Astyanax mexicanus: one gene and its partner. The protein of the gene in region 2 purifies or fractionates together with the protein of the main gene of each other region. This does not show direct contact. Links are inferred from orthologs where the notes say so. Each region holds a gene or a part of one and is shown on either strand. Other genes may lie near its edges.

Region 1 (11,476 bases), on a different chromosome or scaffold from region 2:
TGTGTTGTCCAATACACACAAAGGAAATAAACATCTGTATAACAAAACATATGATTGCAATACATTTCTAAAATAATAATTGCTAGAAATACCGTTGGTGTGCCAACACTTTTGGCCATGACTGTAAAGTATGTTTGCTGCTTAACCAGGTGCTAAGAAGGTTTCTCTGACATCATGAGGCATTTCAATTTCAAACACCAGCGTCCAGTAAACCACCGGCGTGTTTTTAAGAGAGTGTCTGGGGTGAGTGGACTGCATTCCAGCACTCTCAGTCACATGTGCCTTTCTGGTGAATTTCAGCACTGTGTGATCGCTTGTTGGATTCCATGGAAAGCACATAAAACATGTTTCTGCTTTAAATTTGCAACAAGAGGTTAAAGATTTATTAGTGGCTACTGTTCCATATGTCCACTTGATGCCAAATCCCTACGTAAAGTAGACAAAGACTGCTGATATCTGTAGTAAGGCTTGTAGGCATATGCTGAACAATTGTACTTGCATATGGTGACCATATTTTAGATTTTTTTTTTTTAAGAGGACAACACTGGAAACATGCCGGTGTCTGCTGTGGTTGGGATGTTGTCATGAGGAAGTTCAAGGATGGCTAAGTTGACGCTAAGTTAACGCTTTAAGACGCTGCCACCATTATCCAAGGATCACCGGTTTTAATTCACTGGCACTACCAAAGTAATGTTGGTCAGCACAGGCATCTGTTAGCTGATGTATCAGAGCTTGGGAGCAGTGCTTACCTCTAAGAACACTTACTATTTTAGCAGAAGTTCAAAAAGAGACTGTGGCTAACTTCATACGTGTTGGAAGACGTATGTGCGAGACTTTACACTTCTAGTGTTGGGGGGATAGTGATACTAGTGATTCCTAAGGATATTATACACAATACAAAATGTTAAACACATCTTAATCACTTAATTGAGGTGTTTCTATCTGTTGCATTGCCACATGTGTATAAATTTAAGCATCTAGCCCTACAGTCTGTCTTTACAAATATTATAGAAAGAATGGCTGGTTCCAAAGAGCTCACTGAACTCCATTATGGTCCTGGAATTACAAAAGGGATATTATAATCGTCTTTAAAATGAAAGCTTTGAGGAACCACAGCAACTAAGTGCTACAATGTGTCTGACAGTTACAGTAAAGTTACAGAGTGGGATCTTTGAGTGCCGAAAAGTCCCCAATGCTCTGCTGATTCAATAACTGTAAAGTTCCACACTCCATATTAATGCAGATGATTCATATCAATGCATATATGTTTAAAATCGGATGTAATAAAGCTAATGTACATGTAATGTGTGCATGTACCTTTACTTTTTATGACCAAATCATCTTCTTTTATTTCAACTCAAGTGAACAAAAATACTGCTTTTACCATATTTTACATTAATTTTTTTTTTTTTGTATGAAAATAAAGTTTGATTAGAATATTTTAGCGCACATGATGTATTTTACGGACTACAATTTTGTGTAGTTGGTTAGATTCAAGCTTTTATGGATCTTTCAGAATATTTGGTCCACATGGTTTCACTAAGAGACAATCATAACATATTTTTCTTTTACTGATTTTGTGTTTATTTATTTTTTTTTTAGGACTGCTGTTCTGTTCTTGTTATACAGTGTTCTGTTTTCTCTTTTTAGTTTTCTTTCCCTTTCTCTCTATCTCTCTATTTTTCTGTCTTTTTCTGCAAAGCGGGAGGAACAGTGGCTGCATGTAATTACATGCAGCAGGTACATATAGACCAATAGTGGGGCCGAAAATGCAGGACTTAAAGAGATGTATTTAAAGCTGTAAAAATCCTTTAACAGCACGAGCGCTGACCTTTAGATGCACACACTGACATGAGATCACTGCAAGCTCTGGAATTTAAAAATCCAGACACACCTTTGTAAGATCTCTGATGTCTGGGGGAAGAGATATTATATAGTCACCTTATACTATCATGCATCAGGCTGGCCGCTGTTTGGTGTGACTGCAGACTTGATGAGAGGCAGATACGGCAGCAGAAGCCTGCCACACAGATGCTTGCTTTGAAATCCCCACAGTGGAGCTGTCTGAAGAGCTTTAAAGACAAGCTGTGACCTGTAAGCAGATGAGGCGTGTCCCTGATAAAGCCTCAACCTGCCAGTCAAAGGGTATATAACTTCCAGACAGTCCATCAGTCCTCTCCCACCAGATGTTTAAAGTGTTCTGGTTTAAGGTCTGTCACGGTTATGAAGTGAAGATAAACCTTTCTCCCCTTCACCCTTTGAACTCACTGACCTTAAACCCTCTTTTTTTCAGCACTGTACCCCTCTGCCTTCAGAGTAAAGAGAGGAACACCAACTCTACTTAACCCCTCCATCCAGAAAACTGTGGAGGACACCAACTTAGTCTATGAGGTATGTTCCCTCCACTGTTTTTACCTTGTATTGTGTTTTGAGAACCAACAATCTAAATCCCTAATCAAGAAATACAATTTTGGCAAGACAAAGGGATAAACAGAGACACAAAAAAGGTCTGCAAAGGACGATGGTCAGAAACAAAAATGAGGGTTACACAAGCAATAAACAAAGGAAACGCATTGTAGCAGAGCTAGCTAACTAGATTCAATACTCGGTGAGGGACAAAGAAAACAGAGAGGTATATATACAAGACAGGCCAGGTGCAAACAATCAGTAACTGGGAGAGTGGGAATGTCAAAGCTTCACGTGATCAGCAAAGTCAAGGAAGTCTGTTGTAAGTGCATGCTGGGAATTGGAGTCTTTGTTGTGTAGTTCAGAGTCCAGAGCTGGCAGACTGACAGCTACAGGACTGACAGTCACACTGTACCATATTATTAAATATAGGTGTGTCAATAAATACAGGGTATTTGATGTCTGGTAGGTGGTGTGCACTGTCTGGAGCTATGTGGGAAGCTTGTACCCCACCTGTTATATAGTGTATAATGCACACTGCAGGTATAGAACATCACACATCTGCCTCGAACCATGTGGATTTATTCTCTTTAACATTGCAATTGCAACATACAAAGCCAAATGTACTGTATGTAGTGTTTAAAGTAAAACATGTATTGTGTAAAGTATTTCTCACTATCTTTATATTTAACTTTATTTTATAACGTGTCTTGGTTGACTTATTGCATGTGGGTAAAGGCAACAATGTTTTTGACCAGTACCTGTCAATCAGCATTAAAGTAGAAATTGAAATGACACTTACAACATGACCAAACCTAAACAATTTAGACCTTAAATTCATGTAGACAAACACAAGATAAACACAGACTTTCTTACATCAGTTTTTCTGTCTGACTCCGAGATCCTCACAGCATTTTTTTTTCTTTAGCCCAATGGAGCTTCTACTTTTTTCCAATACTTTTGTATCCATCAACTTCTCTTCACTGAGGTAAACAAGGCAAGCAATGATGCTACTAGCACAAACACCACCAGGCAGTCAACAAACCTGCACATACAGACTCATCCTGTTTCTCCTACAGAAGCCCTGAGCTCCGTCTCTACACTGCTTTGAAACAAATTAGGCTGCTCCCGAACACACTGTAGAAGAGTTCGAGTGTTTCTGTCTGTCTCTTTCAGAAACAGAGTTTTTACCTTCAGAAGTACCAGGAGAAAAATGAAATTCCATCACAACACAATCTCTGACTTTTTCATGAAAGTAGAATGGAAGTTAATAAAACAAGAGTGAGAGAAAGTGTGATGGTAGAGAGAATCTGACAAACTTCGATAACGTGTTTCTTCAGGCCCTGTTCAACCTGGGCAATGGGCTTTAATAGAAAATGTAAGCTGCAGGAACACTGCTCTCTGGATAGAATGTGCTCCAGTACAATGTAATATACAATATAAACCCCTGTTCCTAATGGAATTTATTAGGAGACTGAAGAGTTGCAAGAAAAATAGCAGTTAATTATTAGGTATCTTATCAAAAACATATCAGTAATGTAGCAGCATCTGAACATTCAGTAGATCATCAACAGACTTTTACAGAAGATGTCTCCTGAATTCAGTTGTTTTTCACTTTCATGGACTGAGGTTAAGTTTAGGACTAGTGTCAGGATAATGGTTAGGATTAGGCCTTGTTTTGAGGTCAGGATTTGGATTATGGCCAGAGTTAGATTTAGGTTTTCTAAAGTTCGGGTAATGATTTGGACTGAGGTTAAGGTAAGGGGTAGGTTTTTGGACTGAGGTTAAAATTAAGATTAGGTTTTGGACGGAGGTTGAGGTTAGGGTATTGATTTGTTTTAAGGTTAGGGTTATCATATGGATTGAGGTTAAGGTTAGGGTCAGGTTTTGGACTGAGGTTAAACTAGGGTTAGGCTTTGGACTGAGGTTAAGGTGAGGGTATTGATTTGTTTTAAAGTTAGGGTTATCATATGGATTGAGGTTAAGGTTAGGGTTAGGTTTTGGACTGAGTTTAAGGTTATGGTTAGGTTTTGGACTGAGTTCAAGGTTATGGTTAGGTTTTGGTCTAAGTTTAGGGTTAGGATTTGGACTGAGGTATGGCTTTAGGTTTTGGACTGAGGTTAAGGTTAGGGTTAGGTTTTGGACTGAGGTTATGGTGAAGTTAGGTTTTGGTCTAAATTTAGGGTTAGGGTTAGAATTTGGACTGAGGTTACGGTTACAGTATTGATTTGCTGTAAGGTTAGGGTTATGTTTTGGATTGAGGTTAAGGTTAGGGTCAGGTTTTGGACTGAGGTTAAATTTAGGGTTAGGTTTTGGACTGAGGTTAAGGTTAGGGTTAGGCTTAGGCTTTGGACTGAGGTTAAGGTGAGGGTATTGATTTGTTTTAAAGTTAGGGTTATCATATGGATTGAGGTTAAGGTTAGGGTTATGTTTTGGATTGAGGTTAAGATTAGGGTTAGGTTTTGGACTGAGGTTAAGTTTATGGTTAGGTTTTGGACTGAGGTTAAGTTTATGGTTAGGTTCTGGACTAAGTTTAAGGTTAGGTTTTGGACTGAGGTTAAGGTTACAGTATTGATTTGTTGTAAGATTAGGGTTAGGTTTTAGACTGAGGTTAAGGTTATGGTTAGGTTTTGGACTGAGGTTAAGGTAACAGTATTGATTTGTGGTAAGGTTAGGGGTTATGTTTAGGGCTGAGGTTAAGGTTATGGTTAGGTTTTGGACTGAGGTTAAGCTTATGTATAGATTTTGGATTGAGACTGGAATTTTGGAATTTAATCTCTAATTTGACTACTGGTGCTGCTATACGCCATCTATTGTATCAAAACATAAAATACAATCTGTCAGCTAATATCACGGGACTTCAGCTACCAAATGGAAATAATAGGGTTGGTGTTCTGACTGAAGGTCACTGACAAATAAGAAAAACTGACAGATATCCTGTCAGGGGACTGGTCACACTGCACAGTCAAAATGAACTGTGGCATTACAGTCATAAATATATATATATAAAATATTTTACTAATGTTCAGGTCTTTATCAATACATTGTTCAATATTCAGTATTATTATCAGTAAGTAAATTTAGATTTATTTGTAGGATACTATTTGTAGGATTTTATACCAAATGTAACTGAAACAGTCCAAGGAGTCTTTGCTCTAAATGTATCTCTTTTAATAATGTCTGTCTGTATGATTGTCTGTCTGTTTGTGGCTCAGGCCCTGTGGTCAGGGCTGTATGTGGATGCCAGGGAAGGTGTGCTACGCATGGCTGATGAGGAGTTAGCTTCTCTGAGGCGGCTGCAATCTCTGGAGGTGGTCTGCGAGGACGTCCTTCCCAGAACACTGTCAGACATCCGCCGCCTCTGCCACCAGCTGGAACAGCATCGGGGTCACCTACACAAGGAGGACTTTGAGCGAACTGTGCTCACCATGGTGTACACAGCTCAGAGACTCACACAGGCAACTGCAGGCCACCAGAGGGAGCTGTGGGCAGACACCTTTCTTCAGCTTTATAAAGCCATTAAAGGAGATCTAAGAGCAGAGTGACAGATAACTTTCTTTATTAAATGAACTTTTCAATAAACTTTTAATGAAAGGAGTGGTGATAGGAGTGGTGATAGAGGCCTGTATTTTTATTTTTGTTTGGTTTGTTAAAGAACTGTTATACAAACTTATTAGACGTGTATATGATAAATGAAACATTATATTTGACTTGTACATATGATATATGTATATGTGTATGCTTAGTCTTGGACACCCCTGTTCAAATTTGGGATGTACTCAAGTCAGATTTTGTATGTCGGATTTGTCTGTATAATATCTGACTAACCTACTGTATTTGTTCCTTTTTTTCATGTAAACTTTTAGAAACATAATTGAGCTATCCGCAAGTTTCAGTGATCATTTTTATCTCATTAACATAGACAAATGCTACATGGGAACCTATTTTCTGAGCCTTAAAAATCAATAAAAGGCAGCTGCATATGATTTAAGACTGGAATTGTGGCTTATTTGAGTTGCCAACATATAATGTCTGACTGCCATATGGATTTGTTAAAATAAATAATAGTTATCTGCAGTAACTTCCCCCAAAATTCCAAATTAAAATATTGAGCATTTATTTGAAGAAAATGAGAAATGGCTGAAATAACAAAAGAGACGGAAATCTTTCAGACCTCAAATAATGCAAAGAAAACAAGTTCATATTTATAACGTTTTAGGAGATCAGAAATCAATATATGGTGGATTTAGTTCAGCTTGGTTTGATGGCTGTGATTCAGATTAATTTTAATTTAGTAAAATAAAAGGAAAACTCATAATTTTCAGAGCTGTACTTAGGAAACAGCTTGAAAAACACCCACACCTGTACAAATAGAAAGGTGATATCATGTGAGTGAGATAAAAAAAAAAACTGTCCAGTGTGCTCATGACAATACGACTTGAATGATCAGAGTTTTTGATTAAGCGATTCTGGCTTAAATTACTTTCACACTTTCAGAGGTGTACATATACTTTGTTCTGCAGTAGGATTAAGTTGGGGAAAACAACTAACCTAGTTAGCTAGAGATGCTGAATTGTGAAAGTATATTTATAGACCCACAGTCACAATGCGCTGAACTGAACAAAATGAAAGCGTGGGAGGGCATGAAATCCTCAGTTTGTGATAATTAAATTTGGAAACGCGGCAGTTTATGAAACTGCATCTACCTTATGTAGCTTTAATGCAGGAGTAGAAAACCCCAATAGTGTGTAATTTCAGGAGGAAAATGGGAAAGGTTCACTAGAGTTAATTCGTGCACCAGCTAGGTCTACACCCACATCAGTTTATGAGCTGTTATGATAGCTAACCTCTCTAACGCGCCATGATCGACATGTTCTGCTCTTCCTCTGGACCAGACTGCAGCGCTGCTTATTTTGTTCAGGCGCACGAAATACAGAGCTAGATTTGGGGTCCTTCCTACCAAAGCAGGCAGAGGAAAAAGTAGCCCACCCAGCTAAAACTGCCCTATGTTGTTTATGTTGTTTTGAAGGTAAGATAACGGGGCTGGTGGCGGTTTGGGGAGGGTTTGTGTGGGTAGTGCGGGGTATCGAGCAGCTCGGTAATGTTTACAGAGCGGCCTGAAATTCAGTCGAGCTGAGCTGAGCTAACACTGTTATTACTGACACTCTGCTAACCACTTACTGATTCACCGAGAGGCGGACAGACAGCTATCTAAAGACAGCTTCAGATAGACAGCAGGAGCTCTGCGTTTATTCCGCGCTGTTGGATTGTTAGCGATATATAGCGGGGGTTAATGTGCGGAGTGAGGGGCGCGTAAAGTGTGAAGCTAGTTAGCTAGCGTTAGCTAACAACTCTCGACAGCTAACAGCTAGCTAGCTAACTCGCTATTATCGTTAGCTGTTTAGATTTCTATGGCAAACGGAGTTAGCTCACTTGCTAACGGGCAAATGCCGTAAGATACTTCTATTATACGCAATTTTACAATAACTTGTAAGTTTATTTAGGCCATAATTCAGTTGGGTATGTGGGAATTAGCTAGTTAACTAGCTAGTATTCGGGCGGAAATAAAGAACGAACGCGGTAAACGTAGACAGTATAGCTAGCTAGCTAGCCAGGTTGGCTAATTTTATAGTTAATCATAACTTCGGTTCATGTTTTGAACAGAACAGCTGTCACTGCTACAACTGCAGCTCACTCACGTTACATTCTCCTGGTGTGCACTATGGTGTGTTTGCTTCTTCAACATAAACTAATGTTGTTCTAATGTGTTAACTTATTTATAAAAGGTATGAACTAAACTATTACCTACGTTTGTATTACTAACTACAGTGGCTAGCTGAAGTTAACGCTAGCTAAATAATGTAGCTTGTTAGCTAGCTGGCTTTCTCTTGTCTAACGAACGCTGGCTAACTAAACTAACTTTTTAAAAGTTGTTAGATTTACGCGTTAAATAGTACACCTGTCACACAGTCGTTCTGCTAAATATAGCAACATAAACGCCTTTATTTAGTTCGCTTTAGATTTCAGGTTATTGTGTGTGTAAAATGTTATTTTTTTATGCTGTGACTTTTAACGTAACAAACCAGGTTAAGTGTTTACTACATTCAGATTTCCGCATTACTGAATCAAAACAGGTTGCTCCACACAAACTAGGTTGCTGGATTTTCTCACATGCTGTTTGTGTTTGACAGTATTTTGTCCATGTACAGTTAAAAATAAATGTAAAATTGGTAAGGATATTTTTATGAGGTTGATTTTCTGCCAAAAGTTTTACACAAAAATATAAAATCTTATTAAAAAATTAATTACAGATTATATTTATATAGAAACACAAATAATGAAGCACAAACAAATGAGAGATTTCAACAGCAAACTCCACAGAAACACAAAAATAAAAGAAAAACTAAAATAATTTCCACATAACTGCAAAGTTTGTGATCACACACTAATAGATGTTTTCATGATAGTATTTATCATGTGGCAGATATGCTAATCTGCTGTTTAAAATACTGTTTTATGTATAGTACAGTGATTTTGCTGCACATCATCCAGTTTAACATGATTAATTACACTCTCTGTAATTAAATGTACAGTTGGGTTAATGTTCTTTAGGCACTGATGATATCCCCATAATCAATCAAGTAAATTATTTTCTGTTTTGAATCTTAAACATTTGATTGCAGATTTAATATTTTTGTATAAAAATACTTCTATATTTAAGTGTTTGAACAGGGTGTGACTGTTGAAATAGTACTTGGCCTCTATAAATATTGTGACCCCTCACAGACACTGAGAGGAAAGTTGTAACTAAACCAATGAAAACCATTATATGCCAAGTTTCCATGGCAACCTGTTGATTGCCATGTCATACATTTAATTTCTTAATGTAAAAGTGGTTACTGCACATCAGTTGGTTGTTACTAGTTAAGACACAACATATAGACTTGTGGTGTAACCACATTTAGTGAAAGGATAGTTTAAAGCTAAGTAGTGTTATGGACTTAGTAGAGACTTTACATACAAACTTAAGAATGAGACCCAGCTCTGGTCCTTTATTAGCTACCATTGCCCTGGTAGAGATTCCTCTAATTCCAACACAGGTGATCCATAATTAACTCATTACCTGTTGAGCCTTTGCTGAGACAAATGGCTATATTACAGTAGGAAAACCCTGTAGAATCACTCTTTGGCAATAACAGAAAATGTTGATGTTTCTATTTGCTTGCTCATGCTGTGTTTATAGAACATCCCAAAATAAAAAGAAATGTCTGATGTTTTAGCAGGATGCCTGCTGAACGCAAAAAGTCAGTGAACATGGATGACAAGGAAACAGTCTCCTACACCAGCAAGGAGAAAGAGCGAGATAGAGATGGGGATAGGCGACCCACGTCTTCCCGAGACAAAGGCAAAGATGAGAGCAAAATGAGTGGCAAGAAGGATGGCAACAAGTCTGCGGATGACAAGAAGCGTCGAGTGGAGGAGGAGAAGAGGAAGAAAGAAGAGAAGGAGCGTAAGAAGAAAGAAGAAGAAAAACTAAGGGCTGAGGAAGAGCAGAAAAGGAAGGAGGAAGAAGAGAAGAGGCAACAGGAGGAACAGGAAAAGAAGCTGCTTGAGGAGGAGGCCAAACGACAGAAGGAGGAGGAGGCTGCTCAGTTGAAGTAAGATTTCTGACAGAGGTTTCGACTTTGACTAGTTTTAGCATTTCTGTATAGTGCCAGTGTACAGCCCAGTATGTTCACAGGTAATCTAACAAACTGGACAAAAATTTTAGAAGAGGTTTAAAAAAGATCTATGAAACTATAGTATGTTTATAGTTCCAATTAGATTTACAGCAGCATAGACTGACTATATAAAGGTAAATACCTCCTATGTAACATTTTCCCCATTGTTTATAAACATTATTGCCCCTTTTCCTTTAAAATATTTGAGTATTTAATATTTCTGACAAATTGTTAAGCATTTTATGTGAACCCTTTCATCCTCTGTTATGAGTTGATGTTTGAAAGCTATTATCACATGCACTGTATCACAATTACTGCACAAATGTTATTTTGTTATGGTATTTTTATATTTATATCAGTCTCAGAAGTTTAAAATGGACTAACTATTATCTAACTGTTGGTGTACATGTAAATGTAGCTCTATTGCTGCAGTTTTCAGCTAATGTGTTTGTGTTGTAGGGAGAAAGAGGAAGCGCAGCAGCTGCACCAGGAGGCATGGGAAAGACACCAAACCAGGAAGGAGCTGCGAGGTAAGAACCAGCATGTGCAGGAAAGCCGTCCCGAGGAGGCCTTCTTCAGTCGCCTGGACTCCAGTCTCAAGAAAAACACTGCGTTTGTCAAGAAGCTCCGCACACTCACAGAACAGCAGCGTGATTCCCTCTCGCACGACTTCGCTTCGCTCAATCTCAGCAAATACATTGGAGAAGCCGTCAGCTCACTGGTGGAGGCCAAGCTTAAGATTTCTGATGTGGGTTGTGCTGTACACCTGTGTTCGCTGTTCCACCAGCGCTACGCTGAATTTGCCCCTCTCCTTCTGGCTGCGTGGAAGAGGCACTTTGAGGCGCGCAAAGAGGAGAAGGCTCCAAACGTGAGCAAGTTGCGCACTGACCTACGCTTCATTGCTGAGCTGACTATAGTGGGTCTCTTCACTGATAAGGAAGGGCTCTCTCTCATCTATGAGCAACTGAAGAACATTATCAGTGCTGACCGTGAGACTCACACTCACGTTTCGGTGGTAATAAGCTTTTGCAAGCATTGTGGAGATGACATTGCTGGCCTGGTGCCTCGTCGGGTGAAGAGTGCAGCTGAGAAGTTTAACCTGACATTCCCTCCGAGTGAGATCATCAATATAGAGAAGCAGCAGCCCTTCCAGAATTTGCTGAGAGAGTATTTTACCTCTCTTACCAAACACCTGAAGAAAGATCATAGAGAGCTTCAGAACACTGAAAGGCAAAACAGGTGAGCAAATGTCATAACCATCAGCCCAGTGTATCTCTTTAGTGTAGGTGTACTGGAGCTTCTTCTAAAAACCTCTTATGCTCTATTTCCTTATCTTTCAGGCGTATTCT
Region 2 (11,427 bases):
CGTGCAGCCTCTTCATCACTAAAATGCTCTCCCTCCTCCTCCTCCTCTTCCTCTCCTCCCTGAGATGGAGCAAGGTCAAATGGATGAACCCCAAAACAAGGCATCCTTGGCAATACTCAAAACACACTGTACAGTTTATTTATGTCCCAAGGTCACATAGTACAAATTCTTAACTGTACTCAAGTGAGACATCAAGCAATATTGTTGTCATTGGACACTAAATTAGTTGGTGTCAATGAAGAAATTTGCTCATGTGGTAAGAGCACGTTCTATCCTTTGAATACAAGTGCAATAGCAAGCAGCAGTGATGAAATAAACTGCAAGCAACCCAGCAAACAGCTCTTCATATGCAGGGAGAGGAAATACTGCAAATGCAGGCCTGGGGTTCATTCTGCTAGACAGCCGAGAAGATTGAGGAACGAGGGTTGCTAGGACACCGAGCAAAACGACCACTTCGGCAAAAAAAGGTTGTTCAGATTTAACTCAGCACAGGGAGATGTACAGCATGTTCAAACAAATGCAGCACACAAACTCCACGCACCCAACAACCAACATTTTGTCTATGCTCAACAAGAGGAATTCATTTCTATGAATAATAATTAGCAAAACAGCATTAAAACAATATGTAATTTAATTCTCAACAGCCAATGGGTCACCATAATAGTGCACCACTACACTGTACTCGAGTATTGGACTAGACATAAAGGCATTGCAAAAATTAAACTGAATAATAGATGTGATTTTTTCCAGGGGCCATGTAGACAAATCATGTCTGAATAAGATTTTCACAAAACATGTCCACAAACATTTTTTTACCTTTTAAAAATTAATTTATAAGCTGTCTGACCAGAGGAGGATGGATACCCCTCATATATTAGCCTTTCTAATACATTTGATAGAAAAAAGTAAATGTGAGTTTCCTTCTCAAGGTAAAAGTTTTCTATGTTGTATGTTAAATGTTTTGACTGATTCTCTGTCCTGCTAACATTTCTGTAAAGCTGTTGTAAAAGTGCTTTATAATTTTATGTGTACATCCTACTTCAGGCACAGATTTGCTCACTTTAGGTCATTTACACTTACAAACTACTTATAAATGTAGATCATCAAATAAACCGAACACTAACTGAGAAAAACAATCTAAAATGATTAAACAAGAGGTGTAATGTGAACGTAGCCTTTGATACAGACATTCCTATTGGCTCCAACTCATTACTAATATAAACAGCAAGTGAACATCAGCTCAGCTTCCAACCCTACTAAATACTGAACAGAGATAACTTCTTTAAAACTTCTTGCCATAAACAACACAATTGGACAAAAGGCAACATAACCAAAACAAGCTACTCAAATGTACACCAATAAGCCGCAACCAACGAACACTTAATGCACAGCATCCATCATGTACTGGAGCCAGTTTGGGGACAGATTTTCTCACCAGTCCTCCAGTCTGTGTTGCTATGGTGACTCACCTCTGAGTGAGAACCATTCTCCTCAGGATCCGCACTGTCGTAGTCTGAAAGGACAGCTGCAAGAACAAAAACGAAAAAAGTGGTGAATCAGTGATCTACATCAATCACATAGGAACCGTGTATGATAAAGCCCATCATTAGTGTCAGTACTTTTAAGTAAAAGCACAAAGAGAAACTCACCTTCACCTACACCACCATCTTCACTTTCCTACAAAGGAACAAAAAAATATAGTTAAAGTCAGACTTGTGGTTGGTGGTCAGAGCTGTACAGTGTTTGTGAAACCACTTAATTCCTTTCTCTTTAAAACTGTATAAACAAAAACATCAAGTTCCTTATTCTATAAGCCAAACCTCTGTCACCTGATAAGGTTCACAAAGGAAACACACATCCATTTAGTAATCCACCCAAACAGAAAGTGAAAAAAAATATGGCTTTTAAACCTGGCAACATGTTGATACTGGGCTAACATGCGTAGGTCATATGCTAGGTGGCTTCCAGGTGGACAAAATTTGTTTGTCCATGCATTGGGCTTCCTTTATGTGCCCAGGCCCCATGTGAGTGTACAACTCAGAATAAATTGATGGTTAACTCCCCCTGATCCTATACTAAACCATACTGGGCATCCATATGTGAGGCCCCACCATGAAACCTATATACAAAAACTTGCTGGTTCCCAGTTCGGTTACCTCAGACAACAAAAGCATGTTGTCTGGGGGCTTTGTGTGTAGCCAAGACACAAAAAAAAACTAAAAATCCCATGTCTAGAGATATCAAAGCCTTACCAACCAGACTTGATCATCTACACATAACTTTGTGTAACTTTCCTTGTAAGCAGAAAGCACACCAATTTCTTACACACACTTTAATCAGAAAATGTGTCAATGCCTCCTCATTGTGACTCAAGAAGCAATATTAAGAAAAACTGACAGTGATGTTTTCTTGCTCTGTAATTAATACTGCAGTATTAAAAGTGGTCCAATGTCATAATATTACTAATGCCTTCTGTGTGTATTAAAGACTGAAGCAAAATAACTTATACTGATGGAGATAAATGGAGATAAATTGAGTGTAAATCATCAATAATCCAATGTTTGCTGCCTAATAAACGACAGCCCATAATATCTCCACAACATCAGGCGGGTCTTTTGTAGTACAAAACAGGCCAACCAATGAATCAGCAACATGGTCAGGTACTCCTACGGCTCAGTGATGCTCATGGAGGCACCACCTCACTCACCCTTTACTTTACCTAACTTACAAGATTTAAAGGACCTACTGCTAAAGTTGTTCTTGGTGCCTAATCGCAAACACAGGACACTTTCAAATGTCTTGTAAAATCCATACACTGAATGCAGTAAGCTGTAAAAACATTATCAACAATGTGACGCATCTTTGCCCATGCTTAGATATCAATGACAATTCTGAAACGATAATTTACTGTGCAAGTACCAAATAAAAGTAGCACAAAAAATAAGGAAATACATGTTTGGTAGACGATTTCTTTGCTGACTTGGCAATAAGTCCCATACTGTTGGAAAGCCTGTTATTTCTCTTTTAAAATGGTGCCACATTTTTAAGAAACATGCATTAGTGTGATGAGCAGCAGAGCAGAGAATGTGTGTTGTGTTCACGAAAATGCTAAATGCTCAATGCCAATGCCAAACAGCTTATTGTGCCATTGACTCGTTTGGTGTTGACTATCTTCTTTCTGTGTGATCATCTTGTGATGCCCACTTAGTGTCAGCTATATGGAATGTGGCCTTTAATTTGGAGATATCAGTACTAGGGCTCACTCAGAATAATGCCGTAACTTGGCTTTGCAGCACACCAGCTTGAAGTGAAGCTACCTCTCGGCCTTCTATCCAGATTAGTCAATTGAGGAATGTCAAATCTTGAGGCACACATATACTGACCACTGTACCAGGGCCCATGCTCATGCCAAGGCAACACCTGGGGGAACCAGAAGCTGAAAACAGGAAACAGTAGTAACAGCAGAATACGCTGTTTGGCAATGATGGAGATTTGACAAAATTTTCATGAAGGCAACCCACATACTCTGCTGAGCTCTGCTGCTCATCCTGGAAATGCATGTTCCTTACAAATGTGACAATTTTAAGGGAAATGAACAGGCTTGCCAAGAAGCATTGTCACAACAAAATCTACTAATAACAAAAATTATGTTGTTTTTTTCCTTTTTTTTGCTAGAGCAGTGCTTCTCAAACATTTTAGATCATGTACCACCAAAGCCAAACCCAAAGTACCACCTAAAACTTCGTAAGCATGTAAACGATGTTCACAAATAACGCAATGTGTTATATCGATGTTGACATGAAACACTAATGCTATTAAAAGGTAAACTCCAAATTATAAAAGAAACGCTTCAAAATTACTTTCATCACATTTCTCTTCATGAAAATTATGAGATGTTTTTATGAGATGATAGTGACAACATGTCATTGTCTCCAATGAAACCAGGCAAATTCTTAAGAGCTAGACATTTGGACATCACGTGGTACCCACATGCATTTTGCTGTATAATCTTTTGTTTTTGATTCATTAAAACCTTTATTTGGTGGTGTACCACCTTGGTGTGCTTCATGTTAGTTACCAATGTTTGAGAACAACTGAAGTAGAGGGTTAACGGACAGCACGTATGTATGCATTCCCGTTACAATCACCATTACCATCACTAGAACTATCACCATCACCATCCCGGAGGTGTTGGCGGGTTATGTAGCTACCCTGCTCTGTCCCTCTGACCAGAGTTGACTAATAAAACAGTGAGCCAAAAAAAGAGACTACACACTAACGCTACACTCTACAGACTCTACCCGTCCCTCCCAAAAAAAACCCGCGATTCCTCTCCTATTAACCCCTATCTCCCTCCCCCCGCCGGACCGCTAGCTGAGTCCCTGCCGGACCCTCGGCCCGCCGCTGAAGCCCCGCTGGACGGCCAATACTTACACACTCCGACTCGACATCGCTTTTTGGGGCGCTGCGAACCGCCGGGGCCTCGACAGGCTCCGGGACCCTCGGCCGGGTCTTGGCCGCTTGTGAGGCGGAGCCGGTGCTGTCTGAGCCCGAAGCCTCCTCCTCCTCCTCTTCGCTGTCCTGAGAAGCGCGCCGCCTTCGTCGTCGCCGGTCCGCCATCTTAACTCACAAGGAAGGGGAGAGCGGAAAGGCGCAAGGCAATGTGGGAGTTAAGAAGTGCGTCACTTCCTCTACACCCATTATTACCAAGCAACAGGGCTGAGGAAACTTCATAAATGAAACATAGTCATTTAAATAGAGCTTAAATACTTTTATTAAATTCCAAAAGCAATATAATACAAACAAAGACATCCAAGGTAATTTAAACATACAACCAAAAAGGTTTTTCAAGCTAAACAAAACATTTATACTGACAACACATCTCATTCATAAACCGGCAAATTAAACTCTTTAGTGTAATTTACAGTGGACACAGCTTTATTGCTGCTAATAAACAAGTTAAATCCATCAAGAAATACACTAACTGGCAAAAAAAAATCTTCACCTGGATTTAACTAAGGAAATGATGTGGGGTTGATGCTGCAGTTGGTCAGGTCTAGGTTTCAGCAACAGTATGTGCTGAAAGAATGAGGTCAGCTGACTACCTTATTCCATCACTGGATTTTTTCTTACCTGATGGCACGAGCATATTCCAAGATGAGAATGGCTGGATTCATGAGGCTGGAATTGTGAAAGAGTGATTCAGGGAGCATGAGATCATCATTTTTACACATGGATTGGCCACCACAGAGTCCAGACCTTAACTCCATTGAGCATCTTTGGGATGTGCTGGATGGAGAAGGCTTTGTGCAGTGGTCAGACTCTACCATCAGTGCTGCAAGATCTTGATTAAAAATTAATGCAACACTGGATTGAAATAAATCTTGTGACATTGCAGAAGCTTAAAGAAAAAATGCCACAGCAAAAGCAGGTGGTCCAACCAAATATTAGAGTGTTTGCCAAAGAGGATCATCAGATTTAAAGTTAAGTTGACAGTAGAGACCTTACAGATAAAACCAAAAATAGCAGTCACATTTTATATCTACCCTCTAATTTGCTTATCAAAAAAAGGCTAGAGCTTTCTAAAAATATTTTGAATAAGAACATTAAAAAAATAAATGTTCTAGTTTTTTTGTATGTTTGGAGCAAAATTAACTGTTTTGATAAATGTAGCAATATTATAATTACATAGGTAGATGTACGTGAATTCTAAATGTACTTGATTCTCTGATTTTATTATAAATACAAAACTTATAAAGTAGTGATGAAGCTTTCCCCCAAGAGATCTCTGTAAAATGAGAGTTCCAATATGATATCCCTTGTGGCCTAATTTTTCTTTTGTTGTAGAATCCTTCCCTAATACTGTGTTTCACTTTTGAAGTCTCGAACATTAATATAAAGCAAATGGTTTAAACTTGGAGACGGTGTAAAATTGCATATGAGATTCCATCATCATTAATAAACATTTAGTAATAGCTTTAGCTACAACATTATACTCTTTATGTTTTATAAGAAAAGACCATTTTTTTTTATTAAATCTCCATAAGAAGGTAAACTAAGTTCATAGGAAAGAAAGTAAATGCCCAGAATCATCCAACAGATAAGCAACATAATAAATATCACAATCTTTTTAAGGGCACAGAAATAACATATATATTTTTTTACTGTCATATTGCCATTGTTCCAAAGACCTAAATTATGTCGACAAAAATTATGAACGTGTGGTATAAAATACCAAATATGTGGAGATTAATTAACCCAAAAAAGCCCATGGTGAAGTATGTCACAGACCCTTTAAAACATGTGCAAAGTTCCTTACAGCACTCTGTCCTTTATTTTAAGTCATAAAGTTCCAAGTGAAATATACTGAACATCCTGAGAGCATCAGTTGGTTGTAGAGGTGGTGCAAGGTTTTGTTGAAATCCATAAATATTTGGCAAAACGGCATAATTCTAACACATTTAGGTAGTACTGCTGTATCCACAAGCTTTTGGTTTAAATTACATTTCGCTAATAGAGCCACGTCTCTACCCTAGGCCAAATTATGGAGCCAAAAAAATGTATATTTGTCTTTGCATTTGCATTTTTCAGCAGGGTAATGATCATCCACACACATGAAAGATTTCTGAAGATTGGCAACACTTCCTTGGTCTTTAGGCTGGAATCTATATTTCAAATTAAGGAAGCACAACTAAACAGGTCTGTCAGATTACATTCAAACAGCCATGTCCAATTTTCATGAAATTACCCCCATACAGTCCAAATCATTTTTTCAAGAGTCTGAATGGATGTTTTGGATTACTACACTATTTCTCATTTTCAGTCTTACCATTGCTGTTGTTTATGACGTGCAATGACTGAGTTAAGTGCAAAAAAAAAAAAAATTAGATTAACTACATAAGTATTTTCCAACCTAATGTAACACAAACAGTAAACTAGAGTGGATAACACAAACAAAAAAAAAACACAGTAACAAATAAATTGTGAACTTCTTTAATATTTGAAATATTCTCTTTAGATGCATTTAGAGTATCTTACACTTATACTTTGAATCAACACTATTTTACAAGATAGGCCATGTTTTCTTAGATTCATACCATCCACTTACAATGAACAGAAATGCAAACCAAAAACAACAAATCTTGACATTCTCTGTTCTCAGCTCAATATGATGGGAGTTTTGGTCCATACTGTACATCTGAAAGCAAACTTGTATGAGATGATGCAAAAGCAACCAGGGCACAAGCATTATACTTTGCAATATTAAAACAACCATGAGCATGAACTTCTGAAAGCTTGGTTTTCTGCCACTGTGGAGTTAGACTGTTAAGTGGTTCCATCACCAAATGAAGACTTAACAGAGGAGAAAAATGGACTTGGTCTGCTTAAAGATCAAAAGTGCAATCAAGGCAGTCAGGTATGCCAGGTGAGTGCATATTGCCAATATGATCTTGTAGCACACAGGACATGCCACGAAACAGTAGAGCTGAAGCAGCATTTCCTTTAGAAGGAACATGTGGGCTGCGCCGCTGTCTTTTTTCGCCTGTAGGACTGCTTCACTTGCGGCAGGTCCGATGGGGCGTCTTCTTTTTGGACAGTTCTTGTCGGCAGCGACTGCGCTCATCCAGCCATGGTATGTCAAAACTCCTGTACAAAGAAAAAATGAAGAGAATGATTTTAAGCAGAGGATTCCAGAACAGACCATACATAGGACAAATTTTGAAGAAAAAAAAGAAAGAAATCTTGTGTTACAAATGTGAAATATGAGTAAACGTACTGCTGTTGAAGATTAGGCAGGGGTCTGCCAAATGCCACCACTGGCAGGTATGGTGTAATCATTATTGATTCCACTGAAACAAAAAAAAAAAAAGAACATTTTGGTAAAAATGCACCAATTTTCTATGTTTAACTGTTGAAACTTTAGTGACATACCATCCTCTGCTTCAGGGTAGAAGGAAAGTAGCTCTGGCTCACTTTCCTGAATCACTTTTCGCTTATCCATCCTCTGCTGGAGTCTCTGGAACATCCTCTGCTCCCTAATACGCTGAATATCCCACCTGAGACAGACAGGAAATTAGGGACTTGTGAAAAGAAACAGAGAAGCAGTCCGTTCAAAGAAACCGCAGGGATATTAATCAGTTCTACCTTTTCCTTCTCTTTTCATCCAACTCCAGTTTTGAATGCCGCTTCAAAAAGACACCGTCATCTAGACTCTGAATAAAATAATAAAGTCACTCTAGGGTGCAGATTTAAGATTTCATACATAGATAAACTACATTTGTATTTTTTCCTAATAAAGGCCACTGTAATACATTTCAGGAGATGGTGTAACATATCAATCTCTTTTCTTTGAATTGTTACTGACCTCAGGGATATCTGTTGCTTTTTTCTCCTCCATGGGTTCCAAAATGCTCTCTCGCCAAGACGGGACTAAAATGGAAAGGAAGGTATAAAGTGTCAATAATCCAGATCACCAACATTTAGTTTAAAAGTTTTGTTGTTCTCTAGATACAAGTTACCATTGTTGACATTTGAAAGAACTTTAGCGCTACAAACATTACATATACAAATATTTGTGGACACCCCTTGTAATTAATACATTCAGCTATTTTAAATTTCACCCATTGTTGACATGTGCAAATAGTCCATGCACAGATATACTGCCAATAGAATAGGAATCTCTGAAGCAGATAAACACAAAACTTTTGACCCTGTTCCTAATGCCATGTATGAGCTAGAGAGTTTGAGCTATTGGTGCTAAAAGTGTGTGGGCTATTGGTACTGAAAGTGCTTGCACAACTGACAAAACTTACCAGCAACTGTGTCGTCCTGCACAGGAGATGGCTCTCTCCAAGGTGAGGGTGGCGGCTGGTGCCAACAGCACAGATACATTTCTGTCGTAGCCAGGTAAGGCAGTTCTTCTGATTGGACAATGGAGGAACCATGTGACTTAAATTCGGGACTTTCTTCTTCTTGAGCCTCCTCCTTCAAAGCTTGGCCTTCCTTTGGAGAAGGCATTTTGGGCTGACCTCGTCTGGACCTGGCCATCCCGGATTCTTGAAAAAGGAATCTTCTAAAAAAGCAAAAGAAAGTTTAGTCATGTTTGTGTTTGATTTTTCATGCATGCCAAATCAACAAATAAGTAAGCAGTATGTTTTTAAACAAAAACATTTAAAGCTTTACGTATAAAATGTTGAATACCTTTTCAGGCCCTTGCCACCCCTTCCTAAAGTCATAGGTCTAGGTGTCAGGCTCTGCCCCTCAGGTTGCCCTGTGCTTTCTGGTGAGATGGCCTCAACAACTTCCTTGCGACGTGGAGTCTGAGACGGCCGATTCTCAGATCCTTCTTTCTTCACCATCTGTAGCCGCCGCTCCATTCGCTCAATGCGAGCAGTCAACTATATTAATGAAATTAATAAATAAGTGTGCATAGCCCAGAGCAGTGGAAGGATGCCTTTGCCATAGTTTGTTTGTTTTTTTAAGTACAAAACATGACAATTGATTAAAGAAATGCTTCCTCTTAATTTGTGTGCGTTTAATCAAGTTATCAGCCCTAAGCCACTTACTTAATCTCATAAAAGTGTGAAGGAAAATAAAACTGTATAAAATCTAGACTCCAAATACAAAGATCAAGCAGGTATGTATTAATGTATCACAGTTGGGAAGGTGGCGTAGTGTCTGTCTCAATATACTAAAGACAATTTGTTTAGTACACAATAGACAAATAACCTCTGCTTACCATTTCCTTTTCAGCTTTGAGGTCATCTATCTCTTTGTTTTTATTCTGCAGCTGCTGCTGTTGCTGTTCAATCAGCTCTAGCTGCAACAGAAGAATCTGACGAAAGCAGCTAGTCTGTGTGGCAGCATGGCCGATGCCCTTCATCATATTTCTGCTTTTTGCATCAGGGCCATGTTCAGGTGAGGGGACTCCTGCTATTGCAACTCCCCCCACTGGCCCTGCCTTTCGTGGCTGCTTGCTGCCGTTTGATGCCACTGGATCCATCCTGCCCAAGTGGTTGTGACTGGCCTGTCCAAACAGTGATTTGCTTTTTACTGGGGTACCCTCGGCCCCCATCTGCTTGGCCAGAGGAACTATCAAATCCTCCAGGTTCACCCAGTTCTCCTCTTGCCCTTTCCTCACTGCCAGAGACTGGCCAGGTCTGCCTGCTGTGCTGTGACTGCTTGTGAAGGTCTTCACTTTGCTGTGGAGATGCTGTTCACTACTGTTGTGGATGGTGCTCAGGACGGCAGGAACTCTGACAGGATGCTCACAGCCTTGCTTCTTTACAAGACTCTGAGATTCAGTGGCTGCCACTTGTTTTTTGCGTTGGTCAGTCAAGTCTGTGTCCAGCGTGTTTCGTCCACTTGTAAACACGGTGGAGCGCATAGTCATGGCGAGTAGCAGTTGCTGAGCTACCTACACCCACTGCTGTCGTTAAGGGTGGCTCAGCGAGGGAGAGCAGCGTGCTTGAAGCACCACATCCACATCCATTCTGAGCTCTGAAAAAGAAAAACAGAATGTGGTTTGTTACACTTTAAATAGTTTTGAAACCAGTACTTTTACATTTTACTTGAGTAAAGGTACCCCTATATTATATATAAATCTATATTTATAACCCTATAATTCTATATTATTCCACTATAGTTAGTGTACATTAGAACTCTAGCTAAATGTATTTTCGAAACAATGCAAATGTTTGCTGTATGTGTAGCTACATTCCCAATTACCCAGGTTAGCTAATTGTTGTGCTTCAGTACTTCACACTTCTAAGAACGTAGCTACATGTACATGTTAACGTCCATCGCTCTACAGCTCACTAGTTGGAACCTAATTCTGTTTGGGTGTGTGTCTAGAAAGCAGTGCAGGAATGGGGGACTTAACCTAGCTAAAATATTGCATATCCAGCTCTTAAGCTTACCAAAGAAACACTGGGACTCAGCTAGTTAACTGCTAGCAATGCTAGCTAACAACAACTGTGCTCTGATATTTGGGCTTCTTAGTTTAGGCAACAGTAAACTAGTTAATTAGCCAAGCTAATTCAGGGTCAGTCACTCTAAGAAGAGCCTTAGAGTAAATCTACATTATTCAACACTGTTTATAGCTTATAGTTAAGAATTGTACGTGTTAGAGAACTAGCTAAACTAATGTTTACTGTATGTGTAGCTACATCCCCAGTTATACAGGTTACCTAACTTCTAAGAACGGTTAGTTACATGCACTGTTTAACGTCAGTCTTTCAGTATTTGAAGCTGTAAGAGAATAAAGTCCTTTCAGGGATTTTAAACCAGCGTCACTTCAGCATAGCCTGCCTCTGCAGCTGTGTCCTCCATTTTAGATCTTCAGCATAAACAATGACAATCACTTCTAGCTGCGTCCTCCTTTGCAAAAGCAACTGACTGACGCCATTTTAGACCCAACAACACCCT

Evidence for each region.
Region 1: the proteins of casc3 (region 2) and upf2 fractionate together in Homo sapiens (co-fractionation; 3 studies listed by BioGRID and IntAct). This does not show direct contact. The link is inferred for Astyanax mexicanus from reciprocal best matches to the Homo sapiens genes CASC3 and UPF2.

The regions. Positions count from the first base shown.
Region 1 is NC_064409.1:45,006,491-45,017,966, reverse strand, and holds the start of upf2 (regulator of nonsense transcripts 2), read left to right. Parts: upstream 1-7,276; 5' UTR 7,277-7,435; intron 7,436-7,520; exon of another isoform or gene 7,521-8,131; intron 8,132-9,686; exon of another isoform or gene 9,687-9,689; 5' UTR 9,690-9,690; coding exon 9,691-10,064; intron 10,065-10,586; coding exon 10,587-11,366; intron 11,367-11,467; coding exon 11,468-11,476. Other genes in the region: protein FAM180A, read left to right, coding at 2,294-2,391, 5,622-5,951. UniProt on the Homo sapiens protein: Involved in nonsense-mediated decay (NMD) of mRNAs containing premature stop codons by associating with the nuclear exon junction complex (EJC).
Region 2 is NC_064426.1:33,095,113-33,106,539, forward strand, and holds the start of casc3 (protein CASC3), read right to left. Parts: upstream 4,643-11,427; 5' UTR 4,621-4,642; coding exon 4,435-4,620; intron 1,678-4,434; coding exon 1,650-1,677; intron 1,526-1,649; coding exon 1,470-1,525; intron 60-1,469; coding exon 1-59. Other genes in the region: msl1a (male-specific lethal 1-like 1), read right to left, coding at 7,557-7,647, 7,778-7,850, 7,933-8,057, 8,146-8,213, 8,366-8,430, 8,814-9,073, 9,202-9,398, 9,740-10,393. UniProt on the Homo sapiens protein: Required for pre-mRNA splicing as component of the spliceosome. Core component of the splicing-dependent multiprotein exon junction complex (EJC) deposited at splice junctions on mRNAs.